Linked DNA regions of Macaca mulatta. The protein of the gene in region 2 binds, or shares a complex with, the protein of the main gene of each other region. Links are inferred from orthologs where the notes say so. Each region holds a gene or a part of one and is shown on either strand. Other genes may lie near its edges.

What was found. Proteins that work in one complex are often made in the same cells at the same time.
Region 1: the proteins of KIF13B (region 2) and ADAP1 are in contact, whole or in part, in a crystal structure (PDB 3MDB), measured with the Homo sapiens proteins. The link is inferred for Macaca mulatta from reciprocal best matches to the Homo sapiens genes KIF13B and ADAP1. Residues at the interface, in NP_056069.2 of Homo sapiens: Val451, Asn452, Leu453, Asn454, Ala455, Asp456, Pro457, Leu463, Arg512, Phe514, Asn516, Gly517, Arg531, Leu533, Asn536, Asn537, Phe539; in NP_006860.2 of Homo sapiens: Trp137, Asn143, Gly144, Gln145, Phe146, Leu147, Pro186, Ala187, Lys188, Ile189, Gly190, His191, Pro192, His193, Tyr211, Glu213.

What each region holds. Positions count from the first base shown.
Region 1 is NC_133408.1:34,897,116-34,904,411, reverse strand, and holds the start of ADAP1 (arf-GAP with dual PH domain-containing protein 1), read left to right. Parts: upstream 1-3,236; 5' UTR 3,237-3,438; coding exon 3,439-3,520; intron 3,521-7,296. UniProt on the Homo sapiens protein: GTPase-activating protein for the ADP ribosylation factor family. Binds phosphatidylinositol 3,4,5-trisphosphate (PtdInsP3) and inositol 1,3,4,5-tetrakisphosphate (InsP4). Regulates the incorporation of CD63 and CD9 into multivesicular bodies.
Region 2 is NC_133413.1:30,901,137-30,907,842, reverse strand, and holds part of KIF13B (kinesin-like protein KIF13B), read left to right. Parts: intron 1-1,128; coding exon 1,129-1,319; intron 1,320-2,317; coding exon 2,318-2,528; intron 2,529-3,373; coding exon 3,374-3,536; intron 3,537-6,706. UniProt on the Homo sapiens protein: Involved in reorganization of the cortical cytoskeleton. Regulates axon formation by promoting the formation of extra axons. May be functionally important for the intracellular trafficking of MAGUKs and associated protein complexes.

The DNA.
Region 1 (7,296 bases), on a different chromosome or scaffold from region 2:
ATATCGTTTTATGTATATTCCAGTCCTGAGGCGTGTGGCCTCCAGCAAGGGATTGAACTTCTCTGTGCCTCAGTCTTCCCAACTGAAAATAGGGCTTCAATAAGAAAATACATGTCAAGGCCGGGCACAGTGGCTCACGCCTGGAATCCCAGCACTTTGGGAGGCCGAGGCGGGCGGATCACGAGGTCAGGAGATCAACACCATCCTGACTAACACGGTGAAACCCCGTCTCTACTAAAAATACAAAAAATTAGCCGGGCGTGGCGGCAGGCACCTGTAGTCCCAGCTACTCGGGAGGCTGAGGCAGGAGAATGGCGTGAACCCGGGAGGCGGAGCTTGCAGTGAGCCGAGATCACGCCACTGCACTCCAGCCTGGGCGACAGAGACTGGGCAACAGACTCCCTCTTAAAAAAAAAAAAAAAAAAAGAAAGAAAGAAAGAAAATACATCTCAAGCCGGGCATGGTGGCTCAGGCCTGTAATCCCAGCACTTTCAGAGGCTAAGGCAGGCAGATCATGTGAGTCAGGAGTTCGAGACCAGCCTGAGCAACATGGGGAAACCCCGTCTCTACCAAAAAATAAAAAAATTAGCTGGGCATGGTGGCACCCATTTGTGGTCCCAGCTACTCAGGAGGCTGAGACAGGAGAATCACCTGACCCCAGGAAGCAGAGGTTGCAGTGAGCTGAGATTGTGCCACTGCACTCCAGCCTGGGCGATAGACCAAGACCTGTCTCTAAAAAAGAAAAAAAAGGAAAATACAAGTCAGGTCATTTCTCCTAATACCTAGTGCAGAGCTGCTGCTGTTATTAACATTCATCTGTCTTTATTAGGTGACATTCTCCAAGCTCATGCTGTGTGGTGGATTCCAAGCCTGGCACAGGGACCCAGAGATGGAAATGCCACCTATCCCCACCCCAAAGGCTCCCATCTGAGGGAGGAGAAAGACCTGTGTGAATGGTTACAGGGAAAGGGCATGTGACGCCACAGGGCTCATGATCCCAGAGACGCAGACCAAAACAGGCTGCTGTGTTCTGCTTCAGGTGGACAGAGCTTAAGCAGCTCTGTCATTCCACGTTGGCTGGAGCAGGGAGACAGGTGTCTTTGGTGGCACACTGGTCAGTGCGGCCTCAGTGGAGGCCGTCCCACATCCCATACCATTGCCCCAGGGATGCCACTTTGAGTGCAAATCCACACGAAACTCTCACAAAGATGAGGCTGTGGGCCAGGCGTGGTGGCTCAAGCCTGTAATCCCAGCACTTTGGGAGGCCGAGACAGGCGGATCACGAGGTCAGGAGATCGAGACCATCTTGGCTAACACGGTGAAACCCCGTCTCTACTAAAAATATAAAAAATTAGCCGGGCAAGGTGGCGGGCGCCTGTAGTCCCAGCTACTCGGGAGGCTGAGGCAGGAGAATGGTGTAAACCCGGGAGGCGGAGCTAGCAGTGAGCTGAGATCCGGCCAGTGCGCTCCAGCCTGGGTGACAGAGCGAGACTCCGTCTCAAAAAAAAAAAAAATTAAAAAATAAAAGATGAGGCTGTGTAGACCGTGATTCTGATGCATTCAGAACGCCCTGAATGCTTCTACGCCAGTGACTGGGTGAACAAGTCATGGTCCAGTTGAACTTTTTTTGGAATTTTTTTTTTTTTTTTGAGACAGAGTTTCACTCTTGTTGCCCAGGCTGGAGTGCAATGGCACAATCTCAGCTCGCTGCAACCTCCACCTCCCAGGTTCATGCGATTCTCCTGCCTCAGCCTCAGCTGGGATTACAGGCATGTGCCACCACGTTCAGCTAATTTCTTCATATTTAGTAGAGACGAGGTTTTGCCATGTTGGTCAGGCTGGCCTTGAACTCCTGACCTCAGGTGATCCACCCGCCTCGACCTCCCAAAGTGCTAGGATTATAGGCATGAGCCACCACACCCAGCCGAACTTTTGAGTAGAATACAACCATTCAAAAAGAAAGAGTCTGGGCACAGTGCTCACGCCTGTAATCCCAGGACTTTGGGAGGCTGAGACAGGAGGATCACTTGAACCCAGGACTTCAAGACCAGCCTGGCAACATAGGAAGATCCCCATCTCTACAAAAAAAAAAAAAAAATTTTTTTTTTAGAGACAGGGTCTCCCCTCTCTTCCCCAGGCTGGAGTGCAGTGACACCATCATAGCTCACTGCAGCCTCAGCTTCTGGGCTCAAGTGATCCTCCTGCCTCCGCCTCCTGAGTAACTGGGACTCCAGGCCCCCACCGTCACACCTGGCTAAATTTTGTATTTGTAGAGATGGGGTCTTGCCATGTTGCGCAGGTTGGTCTCAAACTGCTGAGCTCAAGCGATCCACCAGCCCTGGCCTCCCAAAGTGCTGAGATTACAGCCCTTAGCCAAAACCCTGTCTCCATAAATGATTAAATAAATGAAAGGCCACAGGCCTCAGACCGTTCATTCTGGAAGGTGCTGAGGAATTGTTTGTTAATAGTGGTTGCCTGGAAGGCAGCGGGGGGAGGCTTTCCTTTTTCAGTCTGGTATGTTCTAGTTTTTTTTCAGCCGGGCGTACTGCACTAACAATATAAGAAGAAAATGGAAAGAATTTGAAAAGACGCTGGGGTGTGCAGAGGAAGGGCACCCAAGTCTGGGGAAGGCGACATCAAACCCAGGCTTTTTGTTACCTGTCAGCCCCCATGTGAAGTCCCCGCCGGGCCCCTCAGCCAGCCTGAGTGGGAGGAGTGCTCAGAGGGTCCCCTCTGTGGGTGGTGGGCAGCTGGGTGGGTCTCAGGGGGAGGCTCCCTCTGGGGCCTCTGCGGCCTCAGTGCCCTGGGATGCTGGCGTTTGTCACTTGCTGGCCACCCCTCCCAGGCAGGGATGGTGTGAGCGCCCTGGTCCCTAGCGCAGAACACACACGCCTGCCTTGCATGAGCACCCCCGTGCCCATGGTCTTGGGGGGCTCGGCAGGTGCCCTCTGCACCCCCCACAGTAGGTGTGCAGGTTCCGTCCCAGCGCGCGTGGCGGCACGAGGGTCCCATCCAGTCCGGCCAGGTTTTGGGGCGGCCTCTCGCCCAGGCAGGTGGGATGCTGCGCGCGGATGAGGGGCGGGCAGCGGGCTACTTCCCGGTGGGTCCCCGGGGCGCGCGGGCTGGGGGCGCCGGAGCGGCCGAGGGAGGAGGCCACACGCTCGCCTGCACCGCTGGGGGCCGCCCGCGGGCCTTGCCGGCCAGAGCGCAGCGTGCGCCCCGGGCCCCGCGCCGGCACTCGCTCAGCGACCGCGGCGGAGACACGAGCGGCGGCTGCGGAGCCCTGAGGGCGGCGGGAATGCGGAACCGGCGCGCGGGCTGAGGCCGCCCGGCATGGCGCAGGGGCGGCGGCGGCGGGCGGCCTGCGCGGGGCCCTAGCGAGCCGGCGGACGCTCCCGGCCCCGGCCCCGGCATCGGCATCGCGGGCGCATCGCGGCCATGGCCAAGGAGCGGCGCAGGGCGGTCCTGGAGCTGCTGCAGCGGCCGGGGAACGCGCGCTGCGCGGACTGCGGCGCCCCGGGTAGGTGTGGGCCGGGTGGGCGCGGGGCCGGGTGGGTCCCGGGTGGGCGCGGGGTGCCGGGTGGGTCCTGGGTGGGCCCCAGGGACTGGGCGGGGGACCGCGGACGCCGCGGGGGTGGCGGTGCTGAACACCCGGCCGGCGCTCGGATGGGGCCCGGGCCCGGCTGCACCTGCGGGACCCGGACGTCTCCCCGGGCCGGGCGGAGCGGGAGGCGCCCCCAGGACCCCCGGAAATCCCCCTGCCGCCGCCTCCCCTCCCCCTCCGGGCTGCGTGTCTGACGGTCACCGCGGACCGCCCGCCGCGTTGCGAAAGCTCGGGCTCCGCACAGAAAGAGGAAATCGGGGCTGGCTGCAGGGAGGGAACGGGCCGCCGGCTGGAGGGCTCTGCTGGACTGTGGGGTCCCCCGGCTCCGGGGCCACCTCGCGGTGACGTCATGCCTCACTCCCTCCCCACACCGGGGGTCCCTGGGTGTGAGCGGCGCCCCTCCCGCGGCTCCCTGCACCTGGCTGCTCCGGGGCGGGTGCCAGGACAGGTGAGGCCTGGAAGAGGTGGGGCCGGACGCAGGTCCTCGTCCACCTGCCGCCCGCCCGTTCGTTCTCCCGGCCGGGCATCCCTGACTCGGTTCCTAGGTCTGTGGGATTTCAAGGCACAGGAGTCCAAAGGCGCGGAGTCCCTCCCTTCCAGGCCACTGGTCCTGCCATTGGCTGTGAACGGGGCCCAGTGCCCAGACCAGCCCTGCCCTGCTTCGGAGCTGTCAGCCCCAGGCCGGCTGCGCTGTGGGGAGAGGGCCCTGCCAGGGCAGTCCTGCCACCCCAGGCACACCAGGAATCTGGGGGCCAATAGCCTGAGCCCCTTGGAACAAACCTAAACTCACCAAGGATGGCTGAGGTCCCCAGGGAGAGAGCGGGGGAAGACCCTGCATTTGCCCCCAAGGCCCTGGTTCAGCATGCAGTCTCTGGACACCCCGGAAATAGGATCTGATTCTCTCTGGGATGGAGGGGTCTCTGCCAGCCCCAGGTCGTGGTGGCTGCTGTCCAGCCACAGTTTGGCCCGAGAGTCCACACCAGGAGCTGGGGTGTCCCAGAGGGGAGATAGTGACAGGCTTTTCTGGAAAGACAGGCAGGACCCACGGCCTTTCCGTGGTCTCCTGAGGCAGGGCGGCTGCAGGGCCAGTGCAATGGTGTGGTGGGGGCGGCCCCCTGGGCTGGCTCGCACGAGAATCTCTGACCCCAGATCTTTATTTCCTCCTGTTCAGGAATGCTCCCCTGGAGAGTCAGTGGGAAAGGGCCTGGCCTGGGGTTGCTATGGCCCACGGGGAGGGGAGCTGGGCTTGTCTCTGAACCTCTGATTCCTGGCCACACAGCCTGGGAGCAGCTTCTCTGGACTCAGAGCCCCTCTCCAGCTGCCCTCTGGGCCTCCCAGCCTGGCAGGAGGAAGAAAGAGGGCACTTCCCTGGCCTGCTGGGCCCTTCAGTGGCCCTCCCCTCCCAGTGGGTGCAGGTGTGCCTGGCCCACCACAGAGCTGTTCTCGGCCCTCCCCCTGCCCGGTGCTGCTGGGCACAGGGCCGCACCTGTGCCTTCTCAGAATTGGTCCATGACCTCAGTGACTCGCCTCCTCTGTCGGGTAGCGCCATGGAGCGGGGATGCTGTGAGGGGTTGTTCTCATTTCACAGCCAGGGAGACTGATGCCTTGCAAACTGGAGCTGGGGATATGGGTCACACCCGGCCGCTGTGCTTGTCCCCGCTTCCCAGGGCTGTGGCCACAGGGTGGAACAGGAGGTGTCAGGAGACGGGGGGCTGCCCGGACCCCATGACCCCATGGCACACCCTTGAGGGCGCTATGCTGCTTTGCTGATGCGGCTGCTCTGGGATCTCCTGTTCCTGCTGTGGCCCAGCTGGGTGACAAGGAGCCACTCCAGTATTGATGGGGACTGGGGTGACCAGCACGTTCTGCTTTCCTCAGAACACTGTCCTGTGCACTGGCTCTCGGCTGGTGCAGACCCGGTCAGCAGGACATCAGACAGTCCCAGGCCACCTCTGAACGCCAGGCCTGTGGGTGCTGGGGTAGACTTGAGCAGGCCCCACCTACTGGCCATGTGAGGGAAGCCACATGGTCTGGGGGTCTCTGAGGCCTCCACAGAAGCTCCTTCCAAACTCTCATGATCTGTCCCACTAGTGGGTTCCCCTGACCTTGAACAGGTCCTCACCCAGCGGCCACCCAGAGAGCCTCTCCTCACAGGCCTGGCAGGTGGGCGAGTTGGGGCGTGCTTGGACCCACTGTCCTGCAAGACCTGGGTGGGGGTCTCCATCCTGGGTGGGGCTTGGGGGAGGGAGGAGGTGCCTCTGTGCATCCTTGGCACTGCCTGCCTAATTGCAACAGAGGACAGGAATCAGGCGTGGTGGCTCACGCCTGTAATCCCAACACTGGGAGGCTGAGGCGGGAGGATCGCTTGAGGCCAGGAGTTGGAAGCTGCAGTGATACACTCCATCCTAGGCCAGAGTGAGACCCTGTCTCAAAAAAAAAGAAAAACAGACATATTCTCCTTTTTGAGTCTCAGCCCGTCTGATGCCCTGGGAGGACTGGGGTGTCTGAGCTCTTTTTTCTTTTTTATTTTGTGATAAGGTCCCGCTGTGTCACCCAGGCTGGAGTACAGTGGCTCAATCTCAACTCACTGCAGCCTCTGCCTCCGGGACTCAAGCAATCCTCGCACCTCAGCCTCTCGAGTAGCTAGGATTACGGGTCCATGCCACCATGCCCGCTAATTTTTTTTTTTTTTTTTTTTTTTTTGAGACGGAGTCTTGCTGTGTGGCCCAGGCTGGAGTGCAGTGGCACGATCTCGGCTCACTGCAAGCTCCGCCTCCCGGGTTCATGCTATTCTCCCGCCTCAGCCTCCGAGTAGCTGGGACTACAGGCGCCCGCCACCACGCCCGGCTAGTTTTTTATATTTTTAGTAGAGACGGGGTTTCACCATGTTAGCCAGGATGGTCTCGATCTCCTGACCTTGTGATCCACCCGCCTCGGCCTCCCAAAGTGCTGGGATTACAGGCTTGAGCCACCGCGCCCGGCCTTTTTTTTTTTTTTTTTTTTTTTAAGAGAATCTCTTGATGTCACCTAAGCTGCCATGCAGTGGCATGATCTTTGCTCACTGCAACCTCCAACTCCCGGTTCAACTGATTCTCATTCTCCTGCCTCAGTCTCCCAAGTCGCTGGGATTTCAGGCGTGCACCACCACCCCTGGCTAATTTTTGTGTTTTTAGTAGAGATGGGGTTTCATCATATTGGCCAGGTTGGTCTCGAACTCCTAACCTCAAGTGATCCACCTGCCTCAGACTCCCAAAGTGCTGGGATTCCAGGTGTGTGAGCCACTGCTCCCAGCCTAATTTGTTTGTTTGTTTGTTTGTTTGTTTGTTTGTTTGGTAGAGATAGGGTTTTGCCATGTTGGCCAGGCTGGTCTCGAACTCCTGGCCTCAAGCAGTCCTCCTGCCTCGGCCTCCTAAAATGCTGGAATTACAGGCGTGAGCCACCGCGCCTGGCCTGTGTCTGGGCTCTTTAACTGGGTTGGAGAGCAGGTGGTGACTGGTACTTCGTGTCACCTGGGTGTCTGAGGCACCTGGAGCACCAGATGGATCCAACAATCCCAGGGGCACCCTGGGCCCCCGGTTCTGGAGGCCTGGCTCTGAGAGGAAGTCTGTTCCTAAGAAGCAGGAAGATGGCTGGGACCCTCTTGTGGAGGCCCTGGTGGTTTAGGTATTGCTCCTTCATTCCACATCTGAGGC
Region 2 (6,706 bases):
TCTTTTCGGCTCTAAGTCATGGCCAGTTTTACTGTAATGGGTTAGACAGATCATTTATTTCCCTGACAGAACCAGAAATCTAAAGGAACATGGTTGTTAGTGTTGGCTAAGCCTCTCAAATAAAGTCATGGCTAAAGTCTGGTCACTGTCTTGGCGTCTCTCTATGGCCTGAAGTTGGCCATGCTGCACTGCCGTCAAAACAGCATTCAGGTACAGGAAGAAAAAGGAGAACCGTAAGCTGTGCTAGCCCTGACTCTCCTGTTCATCCGAAAAAACAGAGAAGTCTTCCCAGAGTCCTCAGCAATCTCCTTCTGTCTCCTTTGCTAGAAATTGCTTCCTAGTTGCAAAGGGGGCTGCAAAAGACTGTATCTCGCCTGGGGCTGTACATGCGGTTTCCCAAACAAAATTGATGTTGCGTTGACAAGGCAGGCAGGCTGGAGATTGTAAAAAGTGAACATCCTGGTCTCTTGTTACTGTCACTGGTCATCGTGCTCCAGATGTCAGACTGACTTTTCTGTAGCTAATAGAGAGCGTTTGCCATGGGCCAGTGATACTTTGGTTACTGAGAAAAGGGTAGATGGGCACAAAGAGCATGGAGTATTTTTTTCCTTCCTAAATTAAATGACGTGTAAACTGCTTTGCTTTGTGTTCAAAACCCTCATTGTTTGGATGAAGCTGATCTTTCCAGCTTTAGCTCTAGTGTGCTGTACAAATTTTGAATATCCCGTTGTTTTACTCATTTCTCCAGGGAATGTGAATGTTTCCATTTTCACATCTTTTCCCACGCTTTCCCTCTACCCTGCTTTCTCTGTATCCGTGAAGACAGTTCAAATGATTTCCTCCTGTTGCACTTTCCTTTATCACCTTGCTCTGAAATCGTCCTCAGCTTTCCTTTAACTCTGAGTTTGTCACAGGTGTGTGGACTAGTGTCACACTTTCTGTTGTAAGTTTTTGCTGGCACTTGAGTGTCTTATTTCTATGACTAGATTATCAACTTCCTGAGTACAGTAATTGCCTTGTACTTACATGGTATCTACTTGGCTTCTAGCGGATGCCATTACTTAATGAATGACATAAATAAGTACCTGTCTTAACTTCAGAAAATAATACTCTTTTTTTCCCCCCAAGACTCAATTTGCCTAAAAAGAAAAAGAAAGCAGAACGAGAGAATGAGGACCATGATCCCTCCATGAAGAATGAAAACAGTTCTGAGCAGCTGGATGTAGACGGAGACTCCTCCAGCGAGGTGTCCAGTGAAATTAACTTTAATTACGAATATGCACAGATGGAGGTCACCATGAAGGCCCTGGGCAGCAATGGTGAGCAAGTCAGGCGTGCTGTTAAGCACTGGTTCCGGTTGGTAGACTGTTGCCTACAGTCCCACCTACTCGGTAGGCTGAGGTGGGAAGATCACTTGAGTCCAGGATTTCCAGGCTGCAGTGAGCTGAGGTTGTGCCCATGAATAACCACTGCTCTTCAGCCTGGGCAATGTAGCAAGACCTTCTCTCTTGAAAAAAAAAAGATGATAGAGTGTTAAAAATGTTTATGATTGAGGCCTTTTTAAATGTTAAAAAGGAAAATCTTTATGTTGCTATTCTCTGTATTTTGTGTCTTTGGCTTTAATTTATATCAAAATGTTCTGCCTTAATATACAGTCAGATCACTTTGTTCTCATGGATAGAATCTCTCTGGTTTATTTTATTTTAATTTTTTGAGACAGAGTCTCGCTCTGTTGCCCAGGCTAGAGTGCAGTGGCACGATCTCAGCTCCCTGCAGTCTCCACTTCCTGGGCTCAAGTGATTCTATTCTCCTGCCTCAGCCTCCTGAGTAGCTGGGATGACAGGCTTGCACACCACCGTGCCTGGCTAACTTGTATTTTCAATAGAGACAAGATTTCGCCATGTTGACCAGGCTGGTCTCAAACTGATGACCTCAGGTGATCCGCCCACCTCGGCCTCCCAAAATGCTGGGATTACCGATATGAGCCACTGCACCCGGCCACATCTCTCTGCTTTAGAGACTTGCCTGCCACTGGCTTGTGATTGTATTTCTGGAGGATTCGCCATGTCTTAGGTTATGTGTAGAACATATAATAGACCTGCCTTTTCTGCAGGGAAGATGGTTGAGGATATGTCTGAGAATAGATAACAACCTGAGTGATTGAAAGTCAGGAAAGCTAAGTTTATGCCAAATTGTCTTTAAAGTATTAGTTAGGTGGTATAGTTAAGATGACAAACAACATCACCATATAGAACCACATTTGAAGTTTGTTATGTTGTAACTCGCGATCATTTATCTTTTTTAAAAATGTGTTTAGATCCAATGCAGTCCATATTAAACAGCCTAGAACAACAGCATGAAGAAGAAAAACGATCCGCACTGGAGCGCCAGAGGCTTATGTATGAGCACGAATTGGAGCAGCTCCGGAGAAGGCTGTCTCCTGAGAAGCAGAACTGCCGGAGCATGGACAGGTTTTCTTTCCACTCGCCCAGCGCTCAGCAGCGCTTGAGACAGTGGGCTGAGGAGAGGTAGGCGGCACAGAGAGGCTTGTTACACGTATAGCTCGGCCTCGCCACCTCTAACACACCTAGGGAAAGTGTCAAATGGAAACATTGAGATGGTGCTTACAAAAGAATTATGTTAAAAGATAAGTGTTACAGCCAAGAACCACTTTGCATTTTTTTTTTAAAAAGGGAAATTGCCCATTTATATTGCATTATTTAAAACTGTTGATGTTAGGTGCTGCTCCATTTTCAGTTGGTATGGCTTTTGGATTTGGATATAGAGTACACTTTATCATTGTATTATGCTTCAGGTTCTGAAGCTTGGGTAGATGATTTTTAGAAAAACAAAGTTGATTATCTGGACTGATTAGCTCAGGTAGTTAAAGCATGGTGCTGATGAGGTACAGATTGCAAGTGTCATCTCTGTACGGGATAATCAGCGTTGTATTGAAATGCGTCATCCCATGGTTGCAGACTACTTCACTAACCTCATATTATTTAAAGTTTGGTCTGCAGGCAGGCAGCTTCCCTTTCACCTGGAGATTGATAGAAATGTAGGATTTCAGGCCTCCACCTCAGACCTGCTGAGAAAATCTTGAGTTGATGAAGATCCCCTGGTGATCTGCATACACGGGCACTGCCCTTATCTACAGCCAGCCTGCTGTGTGGCTGTGCACCAGTGCCTATCGTGTAGTTCAGGTTCAAGTGTGTGCATGGGTCAGTGTCAGCAACACAGTCCCTGCGTGCAGACCACCATGGAAAAGCTCAATTCACATTTTGGCAATGATGTACTGCCACTGTATGATTTTCTGACTAGCTGCTTTGTGTTAATCTCTTCCCTACCTCTGCCCCTTCTTTATTTTTTTAAGAGAAGCAACGTTGAATAACAGCCTGATGAGGCTGAGGGAACAAATTGTTAAGGCCAATCTATTGGTGAGAGAAGCTAATTACATTGCTGAGGAGCTGGATAAAAGAACAGAATACAAAGTTACCCTACAGATTCCAGCCTCCAGCCTGGATGCCAACAGGAAGGTGAGGTTGCCATTCCTTGAAAAAAACAAAGATCTCATTGGATAAGATTGCCTGATGTTTCCTGGTGTTATTTAAGCTTCAGATCCCTATCTGTGCCTGCCCCAAGTCAGATCCTTTGTCCTCCTTGCTTTTGGGTAGAATTGACTTCCTTTCCGTTCTCTGCCTTTGAGTGTATATATATTTTATCCGCTAGGGGAATATTCTCTCCATCTCACCTGGCCCTGACAGTTCATTTCACTCAACTTTCTCCCTTCAAATCTGTTTAAATTCTTTCTTAGAAGTCTTCTCTGATTCATCTTCCCCAAATGTCTTTTTTTTCTTCCTTATGCTACCACTCTACACCCCCTTTCCCACAATTTAGGTGTTCATTTTGCTTATGTTATTTTCTACTTTGAATAGCTTACTCTGTGAAACCGTTCATTAGTTGTGTCATGGTGTCATGTATATATTCAGGTATAACAAGTTTAATAAAATGTAGGGGGAAGTCCCATCACAGTCTTCTATCTTTGCCATTCAGTTGGGTTTTTTTTCCTTCTTTTTTTTTTTTTTTTTTTTTGAGGTTCTTTTCTAGCTCTTGATCACATTCATACATAATTTCTGATGGATTAGGTAGAATTTTCTATTCAGATGAATTTTTTTGTAGGTCCATGCGTTCTGTTTATCCTACAGTAGTCAATACAGAAAAGCTTTAATCGATCCATCTTGGATATTCTATTTTGTTTGTTCATTTGTTTGTTTGAGATGGAGTCTGGCTCTGTCACCCAGTGCAATGGTGTGATCCTGGGTCACTGCAACCTCCACCTCCTGGGTTCAAGCGATTCTCCTGCCTCAGCCTCCTGAGTATCTGAGATTACAGGTGTGTGCCACCACACCGGACTAATTTTTGTAGTTTTAGTAGAGATGAGGTCTTGCTGTGTTGGCCAGGCTGGTCTCAAAGTCCTGACCTCAAGTGATCCACCTGCCTTGGCCTCTGAAAGTGCTGGGATTACAGGCAGATATTCTAATTTGATAGCAAGGATTACATCTTTCTTTCCCTATGACATCACAGCATTGAGGTCAGCATTTTGTACAGGGTTAGATATTTGGCAAATGTGATTCTTAGTATTTTAAGAAAGGTATTGTCAATATGATGTGATCATTACAGATCATTGTTTTTGTATACTCTGTGTGTATTTTGAAAAATTTTACTTAATTAGAACTTACTAGTATTTGTAAGGGCAAAGTCTGGGTACAGTAGGACTCACCAAAAACCAAAGAGGAAGGCCAGTCACAAGGAGAAGGTTCAGGGCCTAGTTTCTTCTTGAAGGCTGAGAAGTACAAGATCCTCTTTCATTTTACAGTGTACGAGTTGAAAAAAGCAGAAATCTGAAAAATTTTTCCCCATTAAACATGACTGCAGCCCTTTTCTCTAACCTATTTTGGGGTTTGTTGAAAGGTGTGACTCTGCTTTGGGGTAGCCATGTCAACACCCAGAAGTAACTCATGTCACCTGACATCTCTCCTTAGTTTAGTTAGGCTGAATCTGTAGTCTTTAATGCAGCAGACTATTTTTTGGTATTTGAAAACTTGTTTAATGTCCCATCCATTCTGTGAACACTCTCTCCTCTGGCAAATTTTTTTCTTATTTCCAATTTTGCAAGAGGGCTAAGTTATGGTAGTTGCACCGTATTGCCCATTGCTATTTAGTCCCAGGTCCAGCATTCTCCCCCAGGAAAGCCACTACCTACAAAGGTCACAGATGGGATTTTTGGATTTATTCACTGGCTGACTGAATATAAGGTAGGAGGGCCTTTAATTTTGACTGTAGGATGGCTGGGCATGGTGGCTCATGCCTGTAATCCCAGCACTTTGGGAGGACAAGGTGGGTGTATCACCTGAGGTCAGAAGTTAGAGACCAGCCTGGCCAATATGATGAAACCTCATCTCTACTAAAAATACAAAAATCAGCCAGGCATGGTGGCAGGCACCTGTAATCCCAGCTGCTCAGGAGGCTGAGACCGGAGAATCACTTGAACCCAGGTGGAGTTTGCAGTGAGCCGAGATTGGGCCACGCACCCTAGCCTGGGTGACAGAAAGAGACTCTGTCTCAATTAAAAAAAAAGAAAAACACATTTTGACTGTAAGAATTCTCAAATGTTTGTTTTATTATTTAAATTTTGTTTCTTAGAAAATGATTGTAGGCAAGATGTTAATGAAACATCAATATGTTTCCTTAAATTTTTCCCTGTATTTCAAAGTTCCCTTAAGTTTTAAGTGGAACAGTTGAAAAATTAAGCCAGTAAACCTAGATTGATTAGCTAACCAGTAGATAAGTCTCCCTTGGGGAAATGTATAAGGGCTTTTTTTTTTTTTTTTTTAAACTTTGTGGTTTTTAAAAGTTCTAAATTTTTTTCTATGTTAAAAATACATTGCTCAAGTTCTTCTGCTCTGAAAAAAATCCACATTGCTCTTATAAGCTGGAAAAACTTCAGAGCGTACCTTTTTTTGGAGGGGGGTGATATTTGCATAACAGAACATTACTATTTTATTTTATTATTATTATTTTTTTTGAGATGGAGTCTCACTCTGTCGCCCAGGCTGGAGTGCAATGGCGCGATCTCAGCTCACTGCAACCTCTTCCTCTTGGGTTCAAGCGATTCTTCTGCCTCAGCCTCCAGAGTAGCTGGGACTACAGGCACCCACCAGCATGCCTGGCTAATTTTTGTATTTTTAGTAGAGATGGGGTTTCACCATGTTGGCCAGGCTGGCCTCAAACTCCTGACCTTGTGATCTGTCTGCCTTGGCTTCCCGTAGTGCTGGGATTACAGGCGTGAGCCACCGCACCCGGCCAAACATTACTATTTTGAAGTGAACAACTCAGTGGCATTTGGCACAGTAACAATGTGGTGTGATCACTGCCTCCATCTAGTTCTGTATGATCTTAATAAGAAACCCGAACTGCATATTTGGAAACTGGTATCATTTATTGTTTCCACATGGGTAAACTGGTTTTCAGTTTACTCTTTTAAGTGTTTCATGTTTTATACTCTATGAAGATGCCATCCATTACAATAAAACAAAATTCACCTTCTGAGAGGTAAAGGGACGTTTCTTCCCCGTACACCGCAGCAAACTTTCCCTCTCTCCCATTGATACATTGTGGTCATATGGTGGCCTGAATAAAACACTTT